Stegostoma tigrinum: one gene and its partner. The protein of the gene in region 1 binds, or shares a complex with, the protein of each later gene. Links are inferred from orthologs where the notes say so. Each region holds a gene or a part of one and is shown on either strand. Other genes may lie near its edges.

What was found. The genes of interacting proteins can lie anywhere in the genome.
Region 2: the proteins of ints11 (region 1) and wdr73 are in contact, whole or in part, in a cryo-EM structure (PDB 8R22), measured with the Homo sapiens proteins. The link is inferred for Stegostoma tigrinum from reciprocal best matches to the Homo sapiens genes INTS11 and WDR73. Residues at the interface, in NP_060341.2 of Homo sapiens: Tyr206, Thr208, Thr209, Ile210, Arg211, Asp212, Ser213, Arg215, Cys216, Arg217, Glu218, Arg219, Asp220, Leu222, Lys223, Lys224, His226, Phe255, Arg258, Met259, Leu364, Val384, Glu385, Tyr386, Ser388, Lys418, Lys419, Glu421, Phe422, Gln425; in NP_116245.2 of Homo sapiens: Asp5, Asp6, Leu8, Val9, Ser11, Leu12, Tyr15, Gln16, Phe18, Tyr19, Ala20, Phe21, Asp22, Leu23, Glu50, Leu52, Arg59, Leu68, Phe69, Pro70, Glu71, Arg72, Asp73, Phe74, Lys75, Val76, Gly79, Phe81, Asp116, Ser117.

The regions. Positions count from the first base shown.
Region 1 is NC_081381.1:29,356,490-29,363,762, reverse strand, and holds the start of ints11 (integrator complex subunit 11), read left to right. Parts: upstream 1-4,264; 5' UTR 4,265-4,368; exon of another isoform or gene 4,369-4,379; intron 4,380-5,951; 5' UTR 5,952-6,035; coding exon 6,036-6,063; intron 6,064-6,176; coding exon 6,177-6,274; intron 6,275-7,273. Other genes in the region: cptp (ceramide-1-phosphate transfer protein), read right to left, coding at 124-646, 4,060-4,178.
Region 2 is NC_081359.1:111,590,535-111,598,094, reverse strand, and holds the start of wdr73 (WD repeat-containing protein 73), read left to right. Parts: upstream 1-4,540; 5' UTR 4,541-4,634; coding exon 4,635-4,798; intron 4,799-5,480; coding exon 5,481-5,548; intron 5,549-7,560. UniProt on the Homo sapiens protein: Component of a multiprotein complex required for the assembly of the RNA endonuclease module of the integrator complex. Associates with INTS9 and INTS11 in the cytoplasm, stabilizing the INTS9-INTS11 heterodimer and blocking the active site of INTS11.

The DNA.
Region 1 (7,273 bases):
CTCATTATCAGATTAATTAAAGTAATTTTTACCATCTTTGATTGCCAAAGCTAGTATTTGCAAATATCACTATTAAAAACCCAACACTGTAAAACAAGTGGGTTATTTGTGCAAACTACAGGATTAAGGAAGATCAAGCAGGCCATATTGACTGTACAGGTCTTCTGTAATGTCATAAGTCTTTGCAACGACCGGCAGTGCTTCCCCCAGTATAGATACCACCTTCTCTGTTGGGCCCATATTCATAACCTCAAAGAAGTTTGCTCGGCTCGGCAGCATATAAAAGGCAACAGTTGCAGCTTTGCGTACTATCCAGGGATGATATTTAGCTAGGGAATCCTGGTATGCCTCTGTACAAAGAACAGAAGTTTTGCTATCATCAGAAGCTACTCGCAGTTTCTCCAGAAACAGCTGTAGCCACCTGAGGGCACGATGGAGCCGCAATAGTGTACGACAGCCAGAATCCCAGTGGTCACCCCGCTTTGTCAGATCCACAAGCTTGTTACCAACTTCATACTTCACCATTGATTGAATCGTCAGATACTGTTGACCATTCGCACCACGTCTGTAGTGTTCCAGAATTTGGATTTTGGTGACAGCGTCATGTGAAATAAAGGAAAAGGCCGATCCCAGACTGTTCATAAACCTAAAGTGTAATAAACAGACATATTTTAGTGTTTAGAACAGAGTTAAAAAGTAAATTACTGGTCTAACAAAAATTAAAAATAAAAATTGAGAAGCAATATTCTTAAAGTAACCACAATACTCCATTGCCAAGTGGGTTACTACTTCCAGAATTCAAATTGTAGCTACTTTTTTGGGAGTTTATCTTGCAAGATGCAGGTGAAAGATCTCAATTTCTACCCCTGATTTTCCACTGATCTGGGAATGGTAGAAACTGTACTTTGTTGATTACAGAGGGAACGACTGCTACATGTTACACCCAGGCTAGAAGCACCCAACAGATTGGGACTGGGCCCAGCAATGTTGTTACCATTGGTTGAGCAGTCTGCTGACATGAACCCTCAGACGCACAGGGGATGTAATGAACAGTGCTATGCATTAAGTGTAATGAGCAAGAATCAATACATTCAGGAGAGGAACACAAAGTTGGCGAGGAATGTTCATGTACATCAGTTGATAAGACACTGATGCCAATGCTACTCTGATATTTGTCAAGTGAAATTCACACATAAGCAGGTCACATGCATATTCCTTACAAATGCAGCTATTAAATGAAATCAAATTTAATGTTCTAGATGTTGTGACCTACTGACAATAAGTTTACCACAATACATGGTATAAAGAATCTTCTAAAGGGCCATATCAGATTCAAAACATTAACTCTGTTCTTGTCTCCACTGATGCTGCCAAACCTGCCAAGTTTCTTGAATGCTTTTTATTTCTCATTTCCAGCATCAGTGATATTTTGCTTTAATAATAAAGTGGAAAGTTGACAGAACACAAAATTTGGGTTTAAAACTTCCAGTTGTGTGTTAGAAAGGCACCTGTTTGAACATATACTCTATTATTGTGGAGAAATGGAAAATGTTACCAATATCTGTTGATCTACAATGTCAGTGAAGTGCAAGCACTGATCATTGAGCATCACAACTCAATTCACTGAAAACTGAAAGTACCATTAAGTAAAACCTCAATTTAAAAGGATTAGGGCATCTCTGAATAGAATTCACTTGTGTTTCTTAGAATGAAATAAAATACAAGTAAAATAGCAGATTTGGGAATGCATTAGAAGTTATTGGCTCAGATATTACCATGGTAACATGAGTGAACCCGACAGCAAGTGCTGCCTTTACTTAATTATACCAAAAGCAACTTCAGGAGTCTGGAAATGCACAAATTCATTTAGAAAAACAGAAGTTATTTCAGTGATGCTATATTTTTTTTTTCCAGAAAGTGCACTGTGAGGACTCACCCCTCGACTGCAGTCGCTGGCAAAACACCAAAGAAGTGACGTGAACTTTTTATTCTGGTCTCATCTCACTCATTGTAAAAATCCCTTGAGAAAAAGTTACACTTTATTGACCAAGATGTGTTTGGATCTTAATGGCAAAATAACAACTACAGAATACTAAAGACTGGTCCTGAAAAGCTAATTTTATGTTTGCAAATTGTCAAATTTCATCTTTACTATCAAGAGTTCTACATATTTAAAATAAAATGTATTTAAATCTAATCATGTATTTTACAACAAGATATTTTAACAGCTTTAGTGACCTTGTTTGCAATTGATAAATCCTTCAAGGCAGTTGTTTGCCTATCCTGCTTATTTACAACATTGCTGCTGCTGCACACCAAGATTTCCTTTGACTTAATGTCTGATACATTAGGAAAGAAGAAACATGCCATGGAGAGTGCTACATCTTTGTAGGCAGCATTCTTTGACATCACCAAATATTCTTGCTATGTTACTCAGCATGAAAGCTAGGCCAATGTTTTGGGAGAAGGATAACAGCCTAAAACCTTAAGTTGTTCTTTTCTGAAGCAAGAGGCACTCTACAATTCCAGATAATGCCAATATTTTTGCTTTTGGTAGGTTGGGAGATAATGGTTTCACATACACAATCTATAAAAGGTTATCATTAATGCAGTATATTGGTCAAGTGAACAATTTACAACAAGGTGATGCTCGCCATACAGCATCGCAAAAAGAAATAGCTCTCATTCTCATTTTCCCCAGATTAATTTTGTGAAAACAGATTTGGCCCCTCACACTAAGTAAATCGATTATACAAAAATCCAAATTAGGAACAGAAGGAGGCTACTCAGCCTTTCTATTTAGTTTCAAAATTCAATAAAATCATGGTTGATCTGTTCATGTTTTGAATGCCACATTCACATCTACTCCCAATAACCTTTGATTTGCTTGCCTAACAATAAAAAAACATTACTTACTATCTCCACCCTAAAAAATACACAAGGACATTGCCGCCATCCCTCTGAGTCAAGGTGTTCCAAGGTTACACAACTCTCAAAGAAAAGAAACCTAAAAAAACTCCTAGTTTTTAAACACTGCTTCAGTATAGTCATTAATTAACACAAGCTAGTTCTGGACTCACCTAGAAGAGAAAATATCTTTTCCATATCCATCCTGTCAAGATCTTATTTATATTTTAATCAACCTGTTTGGACAGGTTATGACAAATCTTTGGGACAAGTAGGACTTGAACCTGAAACCAAAACCATTTGAGCTAGAGTAAGGGACACGATTGCACCACAAGTTTGTGAAAAGAAGGATCTTATATTTCAATCAAGTCACCCATGACTCTTCTAAACACGTGAAAACATGAGCAGTGTGTCCAACCATTCCTCAGAGGAGGATGCACACTTTCCTGGTATCAATCCAGTACACAATTGTAAACTGGGGTGGCACAGTGATTAGAGATAATGGGAACGGCAGATGCTGGAGAATCCAAGATAACAGTGTGGGGCTGGATGAACACACCAGGCCAAGCAACATCTTAGGAGCACAAAAGCTGACATTTCGGGCCTAGACATCAGCTTTTGTGCTCTTAAGATGCTGCTTGGCCTGGTGTGTTCACCCAGCCCCACACTTTATTATCTAGCACTGCTGCCTCACACTGCCAGAGACGGGGCTTGATTCCAGCCTCTATCTGCATTATAGGCATTCAGATTCTAAGCCTCCTCTGAACCATCTCCACCCCACTTACATCCACAATTTTGCAAGATGTGGTCTCATCAATGTGCTAAAAATTTCAAGTATAACATCCTTACTTCTGTTCCTCACAGAATAAAGGATAACATTCCATTAACATCTTAACTAGTTGATGCACCTACATTCTAAGTTTTTTTTGCGATTCGTGCACCAGAATATCAAAACTCCTCTGCACCTCAGAAATACGTTCCACTTAGGTGGCATTCTTCGTTTGTTCTTCCTAAATTAACATCACGTTTTCCCAGATTACATTCCATCTGCCAGATATTTATTGAAAAATTCAACTTCTCCACATCTGTCTGCAGTCTCCATAAGTTCTGTTAGCAATAGAGCGAAAGGATTTTTTTTTGAAAGTCACTCACTTTACCAGTCCTTTCCATCCTTCTAAGTAATGTTCCTGCAGGATTTCTCCGTTGTCAGTCAGACATTCTTTGAAAGACCCCAGGACCTCAGTCAGACTGAACCGATCTGGATGAGCCATTTTAGAAACTGAAGCGAAGGAGTAGGGTGTTTTATTGACCAATCACAGCGCGGCTGTCCCCGGCCGGAAGTCCCACCTCAGCACCAGCCCACCTGGATCGAGCATCTCATTGGCCGTTGCTCTTGTCAGTCGGGTGGGTGTGCTGGGTGTCCTGGAAACGAGGGCCTGCTCGGCCTTGCTGTCGCCCGAGGTAGGCCTGAGGTTAGCGTGTTGTTTCTGCCCGGTTTGTGACAACAGCGTTTAGGGGAAAGGGAAAGGAGTAGGACGGGAATCGCTGTAATTGAGAGGGCTCCTTGTGTATTTAAAAACCCGTCGCCATCATTATGCGACGGGAAAGTGATAATAAATTGAGTTGTATTTTTAAAATTGCAACGTATGAATGTTAACCTGGAGACTTTAAGTGTGATTTTTTTTTGTTTAAATCAGTGAAGGAGGCCGCAACTGGCTTGCTGTCCTGTTCATTGTCACTGTCTGGAATTTTGCTGCTCCTCAGCAAAGCTCACTGTAAACCAGTGTTGTGTACAATCTATTCCATTAAATTTGACAGTTTTTAAAAATAGTTCCCAGTTTTTTTTAATGGGACGTATGTTGCTGAATTCAAATTTTTGAATAATTCAATTTTAAAGGCAGTAGATGACTGAATTGTTAGTGGAGGGCATAGTGGTGAAACAGTTTTTTTTCCAACAGTCTGGCTGCTTCTTTGTTACCTTTAATGTTACCAACAGCAGTTTTTTGTATTTTAATTATCCTTTGCATGCACTTAAAATTTTTCAAGCTCTCTTAGTGGGCTATTGATTCCTGTTCTCTGAATTGTTAGTGCAAGTCTCTGGAATTGTTTTGTCCAGTAATGACTAGTGTATACCTGTTGATTTTATGAAGATCTTCATTAGTAGGTGGACATGTGCATTCAAGAGGCTGTAAGAGTCGATGGGTTTCAGGGCTTTGTACACTCAGACATTGAGTATAAAAACAAAGTTAATTTGTTCAAATCATGGTACAATGATAAGAAATATTCCATTTATGTAGTAACTTTCTCTTTGAAACATACCTCAAGATTCTTCACAGATCATTGTAGCAGGAATAAAATTGTGACCATATGCTCAAAAATTGAATCTTTCTTCACTGAAATAAGGAAACTTAGTTAGAGATTTCACAGAGATTTTTAAAATTCTTAAAAATTTTAAGGCGTAAATAGCGCAGAACTGGCATGACAGGCTGTTGAGGTTAAAACTAACTGTTTAAAGATTAATTGAACAATGTCAAGGCATTTCTTCCCCCAGAAGATAGTGAATGCCTGGAATTCAATATCCCAGAGAGTTGTGTAGCCTAGATCACTGAAAGTATTTGAAGAGAAGGTAAATAGAGTTTTAAAATATCAAGGAGCTGAGAACTCTGAGGAGCAGGTACAAGAGAGGAGCTGAGGATTAGCGCACACCAAGCCATGATTTTATTGAGTAGCAGGATGGGATTGAGGGTACGAATAGCTTACTCCTGTTCCCATTTCTTAGGTTCTTGCTTTCAGTATTTGAAAATGACATTTTATATTAGGATATAGCTGTTGAAAAAAATGGTTGTAAAGTTCTGTCAGTGACTTGGAGGTGAAGTTCACGCCTCTAGACTTTAACACACAGTACATACCACTGTCTCCCTGTTGCACAATGATACTCTCACTTCTTCTCTCATTTCTTACCCTTACATAGGAGAGACCAAACTGCTGGGCCTTGAAATCTCCTGAGATTTTGTTACTGATACAGTCTGCTTTAAATTTATCAGATCCATTTTGCTGAATTTAAGATGACTAACTGATTTCATCAGTACATTCTTGGAACCACAAGTTGCAGTGAAATCTGATTGCAAATGCCAGAAATAAAGGTCACACCTTTAGGTAAGAATTCAAATATTCAGCTGTCTCTAGAATAACAAGGAGCAGCATTATTAGATATGATTGTTAGTAAGAACTTAGAAAACTTGCAGAATGATGAGTCCTTGCTTTTTCAGGGGCTGGCCAGGATGTGGGCCGCAGTTGTATCCTGGTCTCAATTGGTGGGAAAAACGTGATGCTGGATTGTGGAATGCACATGGGATATAATGATGATGTAAGTATATGGAACAATCGAATGGTAGAAAATACAGGAAAACACAGGCTTGTGAAATAAAGAGATATCTGGCCAGTGTTTTACAGTTTGAGTTTACATGGTTCATTTGTCAATTTTTGTGTATCCGTGTTTCCTTCAATGGACGTGGACCCAGTGATTGTTGGTCATTGCTGACTTAGTACAGGTGTTGAAGTGTTCCCAGTTTTCGGTGTCACATATCACTGGAGGTAGAGCCATCACCATAACAGGAGTAGGTTGTAGGTTTATTAACCACTGTAGTTATCACTACAAGCATTGATTGTCACCGTGACCCAGGAAAGGTCCATAGTTTCTGTACTCTTGCTGTTGGGTCTAAATAGTATATGAATAAACCAAATACAACAGGAGTCACAGATAGTAGGAACTGCAGATGCTGGAGAATCTGAGATAACAAGGTGTAGAGCTGGATGAACACAGCAGGCCAAGCAGCATCAGAGGAGCAAGAAGGCTGACGTTTCGGACCTAGACCCTTCTTCAGAAATGGGGAAGGGGAAGGGGGTTCTGAAATAAATAAGGAGAGGGGGGAGGCGGATAGAAGATGGATAGAGGAGAAGATAGGTGGAGAGGAGACAGACAGGTCAAAGAGGCAGGGATGGAGCCAGTAAAGGTGAATGTAGGTGGGGAGGGAGGGAGGGAGGAGATAGGTCAGTCCAGGGAGGATGGACGAGTCAAGGAGGCGGAATGAGGTTAGTAGGTAGGAGATGGGGGTGGGGCTTGAAATGGGAGAGGGGATAGGTTGGAGGCGGGGACGAGCTGGGCTGGTTTAGGGATGGAGTAGGGGGAGGGGAGATCTTGAAGTTTGTGAAGTCCACATTGATACCATTGGGCTGCAGGGTTCTCAAGCAGAATATGAGTTGCTGTTCCTGCAACCTTCACATAGCATTGTTATGGCACTTCAGGAGGCCCAGGATGGACATGTCATCTGAGAAATGGGAGGGGGAGTTGCAACGGTTCGCAACT
Region 2 (7,560 bases), on another chromosome or scaffold:
ACACGCCCTCCCCTTCCCACACGCCCTCCCATTCCTACTCCCCCTCCCCCTCTCCTGCCCTCTCCCTCCCACTCTCACTCCCCATCCTGCTTTCACTATCCCTCCCCCTCCCACTCTCACTCCCACTCCCACCATCTCCCACTCCACCTCCCACTCCCACTATCCCTCCCACTCCCACTCCGCTCCCCCTCCCATTCGCCCTCTCCCTCCCGCTCCCACACCCCCTCACCCCCTCACCCCCTCACCCCCTCACACTCCCCCTCCCTGGGTGACATGTCCATCCTGGGCCTCCTCCAGTGTCACAATGATACCATCCACAAACTGCAGGAGCAGCACCTCATATTCCACCTGGGATCCTACAGCCCGATGGCCTAAATGTAGCATTTACCAGTTTCAAAATCTCCCCACACCCCGGCCTCATCCGGTTTCCAACCCTCCCTCTCATTCCCGCCTCCATGACCTGACACAACCTGCCCATTTTCTTACCCACCTTCTGCCCCTCTGACCAATCCCCACCACGCCCACCTATCGCCATCTCACCTCCCTTCCCCCAGTCCAAACCCCCTCCCTCTATTTATTTCCCAGCTCCTTTACTCCTCCCAGTCCTGATGAAGGGTCCTGAGCCAAAACAGCGGCTTTCCTGCTCCTCTAACACTGCCTGGCCTGCTGTGTTCCTCCAGCTCCACACCGTGTTATCTCTGACTCCAACATCTGCAGTTCTTGCTGTCTTCAAATAATGTTGATCTTGCTTTGTGCACCTCCCGTGCAACGATAATGTTGTATACCTCATTCTAAGATCCCCACGATCTGTATGTCCTTGTTTGTTGTGATCTGCCTGTACTGCATGCAAAACAAAACTTTTCACTGTACTTAGGTACACGATTACAATAAATCAAATCAAAACAAAGGTCCTGGGGAAAAGACCTTGGCTATTCACCCTATCCATGCCCCTCATAATTTTATAAACCTCTATAAAATCACTCCTTCAATCTCCGATGCTCCGGGGAAAATAGCCCCAGCCTATTCAGCCTCTCCCTGTAGCTCAAAGCATCCAACCTTGGCAACATCCCTGTATATCTTTTCTGCATCCCTTCAAGTTAACAATATTTTTCCTATAGCAGGGAGATGAGAACTTAATGCGATATTCTAAAAGTGGCCTCACCAATATCCTGTACAGCCACAACATGACCCTCCCAACCCCTATACTCAATGCACTGACCAATAAAGGCAGACATACCAAACACCTTCACTATCCTGTCTACCTGCGACTCCACTTTCAAGAAACTATGAACCTGCACTCCAAGGTCTCTTTGTTCAGCCACACTCTCCAGGAAGTTACCATGAAGTGTATAAGCCCTGCCCTGATTTGCCTTTCCTAAATGCAGCACCTCACATTTATCTAAATTAAACTCCATCTGCCACTCCTCAGCCCTTTGGCCCATCTGATCCAGATCCTGCTTGATTGACTTGTTTGGTTTGACTGGGCTTGTAATTGCTGGAGTTTAGAAGGATGAGAGAGGGATCTGATTGAAACATATAAATGCCAGTAGGGCTGGACAGACTAGATGCAGGGAGGGTGTGTTCCCTCCATGGGGGAGTGTAGACCCAGGGGACACAGTCTCAGGGTACAGGGCAGACCATTTAGGACTGCGATGAGGAATGATTTCTTCACTCGGGGGGAATGACCCTGTGGAATTCTCCACAATAGAAAGCTGTAGAGGTCAAGTTACTGAATATATTCAAGAAAGAGATAGGCGAATTTCTAGAGTTTTTTGTCATCAAGGCATATGGAGAGAAAGTGAGAATGTGACAGTGAGATGGAGGATTATCCATGAGCATATTGAATGGTAGAATAGGCTGAAAGGGCCAAACGGCCTACTCCTGCTCCTATTTTCTACGTCTCTATTAGTGTAGATGTATAAATTCAATCACTAAAATAGCCATTGTCTCCTCTTTGTCCTGCTATCCATATTAAAATATCCTATCACCATGTTTCTTTAATGAACTGATGGAGCATCGTTTATTAGAAATCAAACCATTTAAAACAAGTGGTAAATTGATAATATCAAAGTTATAATCTAGAATTAGAACTATGTCCCTTCTAATCCCAAAAACAAGCCCTCACTCACACACAGGACAACACTGATTCTGCAGGAAAATGTTATTAAATAACCAAAAGGAAAATGTGCCTCCACTAACCAATAAGAATAGAGATTGATGAATTCTCACAATCCGTCAAGCTTCCTGTTAATAAAATTGATTTAATAATTGTGTACCAATGGAAGATTGTCGAAATAAAGCTTCATTTTGTTTGGGAAAGAAGCTGGATCTAGCTCTTCATTTAGTTGTCATAGATCAGCTTTCCAAGGTTTGCAAGGTAGTCAAAAAATCTTGGATTCTCCAGCATCTGCAGTTCCCATTATCTCTGATACAAAAAGATGCTCATGTTAGCTTTGTCACATTCCCAATTTTCAGCCAGGGGAAAGAATGGAAGAGAAGGAGAGAGATCTTCCTGCCTTCCTGTTCTCTGCTCTGCTTCCTTTTTCTTTCTGACTCTCCAGAGATGTTTGAAGCTGAAGCCAAACCCCACCTGGGATGTTGACAGTCATTAGCACATTAGCACAGTCACCTCCAAAGACAAATGGTCCAGCAATTAAAAGCAACAGTCTTTTTCTTACTCCATAAAGTGTCCAAACAGCTCCTAATCTTCCAGCTCTTCATACACCCCGTAAATATAAATATAAAAATAGGGTGGTTTTGCTAAAACTGCACAAGGTGCTAGTCAGATCACAGTTGGAATACTGTGAACAGTTTTGGGCCCTTTATCTGAGGAAAGATACACTGACACTGGAGACAGTCCAGAGAAAGTTCCCTGGACCGATGTTGGGGTGGAAGGTCTTTCTTATGTGGAGGGGATGAGCAGATTGCACGCATTGGAATACAGAAAAATGACAGACAACTTCAGTGAAACAGATAAGATCCTTAGGGGAATTGGCAGGGTAGGTGCAGAAAGGAGGGTCTAGGACCAGAGGGCATAATCTCAGAATAAACAGCTTCACATTTAGTACAGCGGTGAAGAGGAATTTCCTTTCTCAGAGGGTTGTGAGTCTGTACGATTCTTTATTGCAGAGAGCTGTTGAGGCTGGGTCATTCAGTATATTGAAGGCTGAGACAGACACACTTTTAATCAGGAAGGGAACTGAAAGTTATAGGGAAAATGCAGGAAAGGAATTGAGCTCAGCCATGATTTCATTGAATGGCAGAGCAGACTAAACGGGCTGAATGGCCTGCTTTTGCTCCCACGTCTTACAGCGTTTTTATAATGATATATTCCAGTCCTCAGCACACTTCCTTATCTGATCACGATCCCTCTGTAATTTTTGCTAACCTTCCTCACTGTCAATGATACCTCCCAATTTTGTTACATCTGCAAACTTATTCATCATGCCTTGTACATTCAAATCGAGATCATTGATGTAAATAACAAATAACAAAGGTCCCAGCACTGACCTCTGGGGCACACCACTAGACACAGGCCTCCAGCCTGAGGAACAAACTTCAGCCCTCACCCTCTGCCAATTTTGAGTCTGAGGAAGGGTCACCAGACCCGAAACGTTAACTCTGTTTTCTCCTCCACAGATGTTGCCGGACCTGCTGAGCTTTTCCAGCAACTTTGTTTTTGTTCCAATTTTGAGTCCACTTAGCTACCTCTCCCTGGATCCCATGAGGCCTAACCCTCATCGCTAGCCTGCCATGCATGACCTTGTCTAACCAAGCTCTCCAGGGCCCAGCCCTGAGGTGCCATATAAATGCAAATCTGGCTATTTTCGGTGAGTAGCACCTGTTTTCAGGTCTGGGCATTGGAAATACAATGAGGATAAGCATATGGACGTACATGGAATAGTGTAGGTTAGATGGGCTTGAGATCGGTATGACAGGTCGGCACAACATTGAGGGCCGAAGGGCCTGTACTGTGCTGTAATGTTCTATGTTCTAACACGTTGAAGTTTATAGGGGGCGAAAGTAAAAGTCAGGTTCCGCCGAGATTTGAACTCGGATCGCTGGATTCAGAGTCCAGAGTGCTAACCATTACACCACGGAACCAGGCCTGCTCTGGCTGCCGCTGGGAGGCGTATTTCAGGAAATCAGCCCGCCTTCCCCACCCGCCTTAGCAACAGCGATTTTATTGGTCAGTGCCCACAGGTGCATGGGAAGCCCTCAGAGACGGAGAAATAATTATACAGGAGTTCTCCGAGAAATTCGTTTGTGATTGATGTGAGAATAGTCCCAGTATCGGAATAAATAAAAGTAATTTGGTAAAAAATCAAACCAGGAAGTGATGTAACCAAAAGGTGTAAACTTCCACCTCAACCGCCGAGTTATTTCCCTGCCTGAACAGTTTATTTAAAATCTAATTATCATTTTAGACATTGGAGGCTGACGGGAGAAGGTTATTTTCCTTAAACAAATATATAAATAAATAAAGCGTTCACTGGCGCTTCGGAATTGCTGTGATGTCATATCCCCTCCCGAGCTGTCCCAGAAACAGTCGAAAGTCGAATGGGTTTCATTTCTTTTGCCGAGGGCTTCAATTTGAAGAAGGTTCCGCTCCTTCTCGTGCGAAAAATAATTAGATGGGAATTTTCTTCATGGAAGAAGGCGGGAATCGATGTGGAACTGACGCAAACGCCGTGGGCGGGGATTCCAACGCCGGAAGTGACAGTTGCCTTGGAGACGCCAAGATGGCGGCGGAGGAGGAGAGCGAGTGGGATGTTTGGATGTTGGAATCTCTGAGACTGTGAGTGCGATGGTGCCCGGGACCAGGCGGTTGGCACCTGCTCTTGGACCGATCGCTTTGTCTCCCTGACCGTTTGGGATTCTGTAGGACACCCCCTGAAACGTTAAAGTTTCTGTCTTTAGGTTCCACCCATCCTCCCTCACTGCAGTAACTGATTCCTGGGTCAGTTTTACAACGCCGTCTGCTCCCTTCTCGCCGAAAGATTTTATACCATCGAGCTGCCAGGCCCTCCCTCGAACTTCTTCGTGATTGCAATGATGTTTGAGTTGGTGCGATTAATGGGTCACTGGGATGGACAGTATCAGGGAAATAGGGGTGTTCTGAAAGGTCTTGTGCTGTCTGTCTGGTCCCTGGCATGAGGGAGCACCTCAAGTCATCTGCCTCCGTCTCCCGCTGATGTTCACAAGTCGCTCTGTGGTGTCGAGATAGCAGATTATATAGTGGCATTGCCTCGAGTTAAACCAGGATCGTGGGATGATGTTGTGAAAGGAAATGATGGTTTTAGATGCTTATTCTGTCTTAGACTGATCATTTTGATCACTTTTCCATATGTATTTCAGTGTCACATTTTATCTGTTATTTACTCTTCTGGAGCGGTTTGTTTTATATATTAAATATAAGTTGCGATTGAAGTGATTATTTGAAGTGTATTACATTACGATACTCTGTCTGTTTCTATTAGGTACAATGACCTTCATGTGTTTGAGCTTCAGGAACCAACACGAGTTATAGAATGGATTCAGGATAGAAGTATGTTGGATTGTGTCTTTCTCTGTCTGGGTGTGTTTATATAACAGTCCATTTTCAAAAACATTTGATCTTCACTGAGGTTTGAAAGAGTTAAATTACAGAAATTGAATAGAGGAACTAGGTTTGTATTCCTCTGATTTAGAAGATGACTGATGATTAATCAAAGTGTTTAAGGTGACTTAAGGATTTGATAAATTTGATGTAGCAAAATTTATTTTCGTTGGTGAGAGTCCAGACTAAAGAAATATTAGAATTTTTAAAAGAAGAATTAGTGTTAACTCAAAATGTTAACTCTATTTCACTTTCTGCAGATGCTACCAGACTACCTGAGTTTCTCCAGCACAGTCTGTTTTAATTTCAGGTCTCACGCATTCGCAGTATGTGGAGATTTTTTTACTTCTGATTGTGGTAGGAAACAGGAAAAGAACTGTTTTAGCGGCCAGTGTAAACTTCTGTGGTTCCACGCAAACCTACAGCATTGTGTGGAACCACAGAACCACATAAGCGTTATTTGCTTATGCTTCACAGAGAGAACATCATGTTCAAAATAAAAAAAAATCTACCAGAAGCAAATTATCATCAATCAATGCAGCTTTGCCTGGGAGCAGACTTTTCCAGTAATAAAAACAACTGGGATCATAACAAGGACCTGAGTGACATCTTGTTCCTGAGTATTATGATCCAAGTGTTTGGTTGTACCTCCTGATATCAACAGGGAAAAAACGGGGTAGATAAAGAGAAACTATTTCCCCTGATTGGGGATTCTAGAACTAGGGCCAGACTGTTCAGGAGAGATGTTAACAAGAGCTTCCACATGAAGGGTGGTAGAGGTTGGAACCCTTTAACAAATGGAGCTGCTGCAAGATCATTGTTAATTTTAAATCTGAGGTAGATACCATTTTGATTAAGTAATGTATTCAGGGATATCAGACAAAGGCAGGTATGTGGAGGTAGACTGCAGATCAGCCATTGTCTTAACGAATGGTGGAACAGGCTAAAGGGGCTGAATGACCTACTTTTGGTCCTGTGTTCCGGATCACATGGAATATAGGGAGAACTAGCCACGTGGATACATAACTAGCTTGAAGGTAGGAGACAGAGGGTGATGCTGGAGGGTTGCTTTTCACACTGGAGATCTGTGACTAGCTTTGTGCAGCAAGGATTGGTGCTGGGTCAACTGCTTCTCAGCATTTATGTAAATGATTTGGATATGAATGTAGGAGGTATGGTTAGTAAGTTTGCAGTTAACACCAAAACTGGCATAGTGCACAGTGAGGAAGGCTACCACAGAGTACCAGGGGATTTTGACCACATGGGCTGAGGAATGACAGATGGAGTTTAATTTCGATACATTTGAGGTGCTGCATTTTGGGAAGGCAAATCAAGGCAGAACTTGTACACTTAATGGTAGGGTCCTGGGGCGTGTTGCCAATCAGAGACCTTGGAGTGTAGGTTCATAGTTCCTTGAAAGTGGAGTTGCAGGTAGACAGGATAGTGAAGAAGGTGTTTGGTATGTTTGCCTTTATTGGTCAGTGCATTGAGTATCGGAGTTGGGAGGCCATGTTGTGGCTTTATAGGACATTGGTGAGGCCACTTTTTTAGAATACTGTGTTCAATTCTCGTCAAGAGATATTGTGAAACTTAAAAGGGTTCAGAAAAGACTTACAAGGATGTTGTCAGGTTTGGAGGGTTTGAGCTATAGGGAGAGGCTGATTAGACTGGAGCTATTTTCCCTGGAGCGTTGGGGGCTGACCATTTAGAGGTTTATAAAAGCATGAGGGGCATGGATAGCGTGAACAGCCAAGGCCTTTTCCCCTAGGGTAGGGGAGTCCAAAACTAGAGATTTAAGGTGAGAGAGTTAAGATTTAAAAGGGAACTAAGGGGCAATTTTTTCATGCAGAGGGTGGTGTGTGTGTGTGTGTGTGTCTGATACAATAACAACATTTAAAAGGCATCTGCGTGGGTTTATGAAAGGAAGGGTTTAGCAGGATATGGGCCAAATGCTCGCAAAT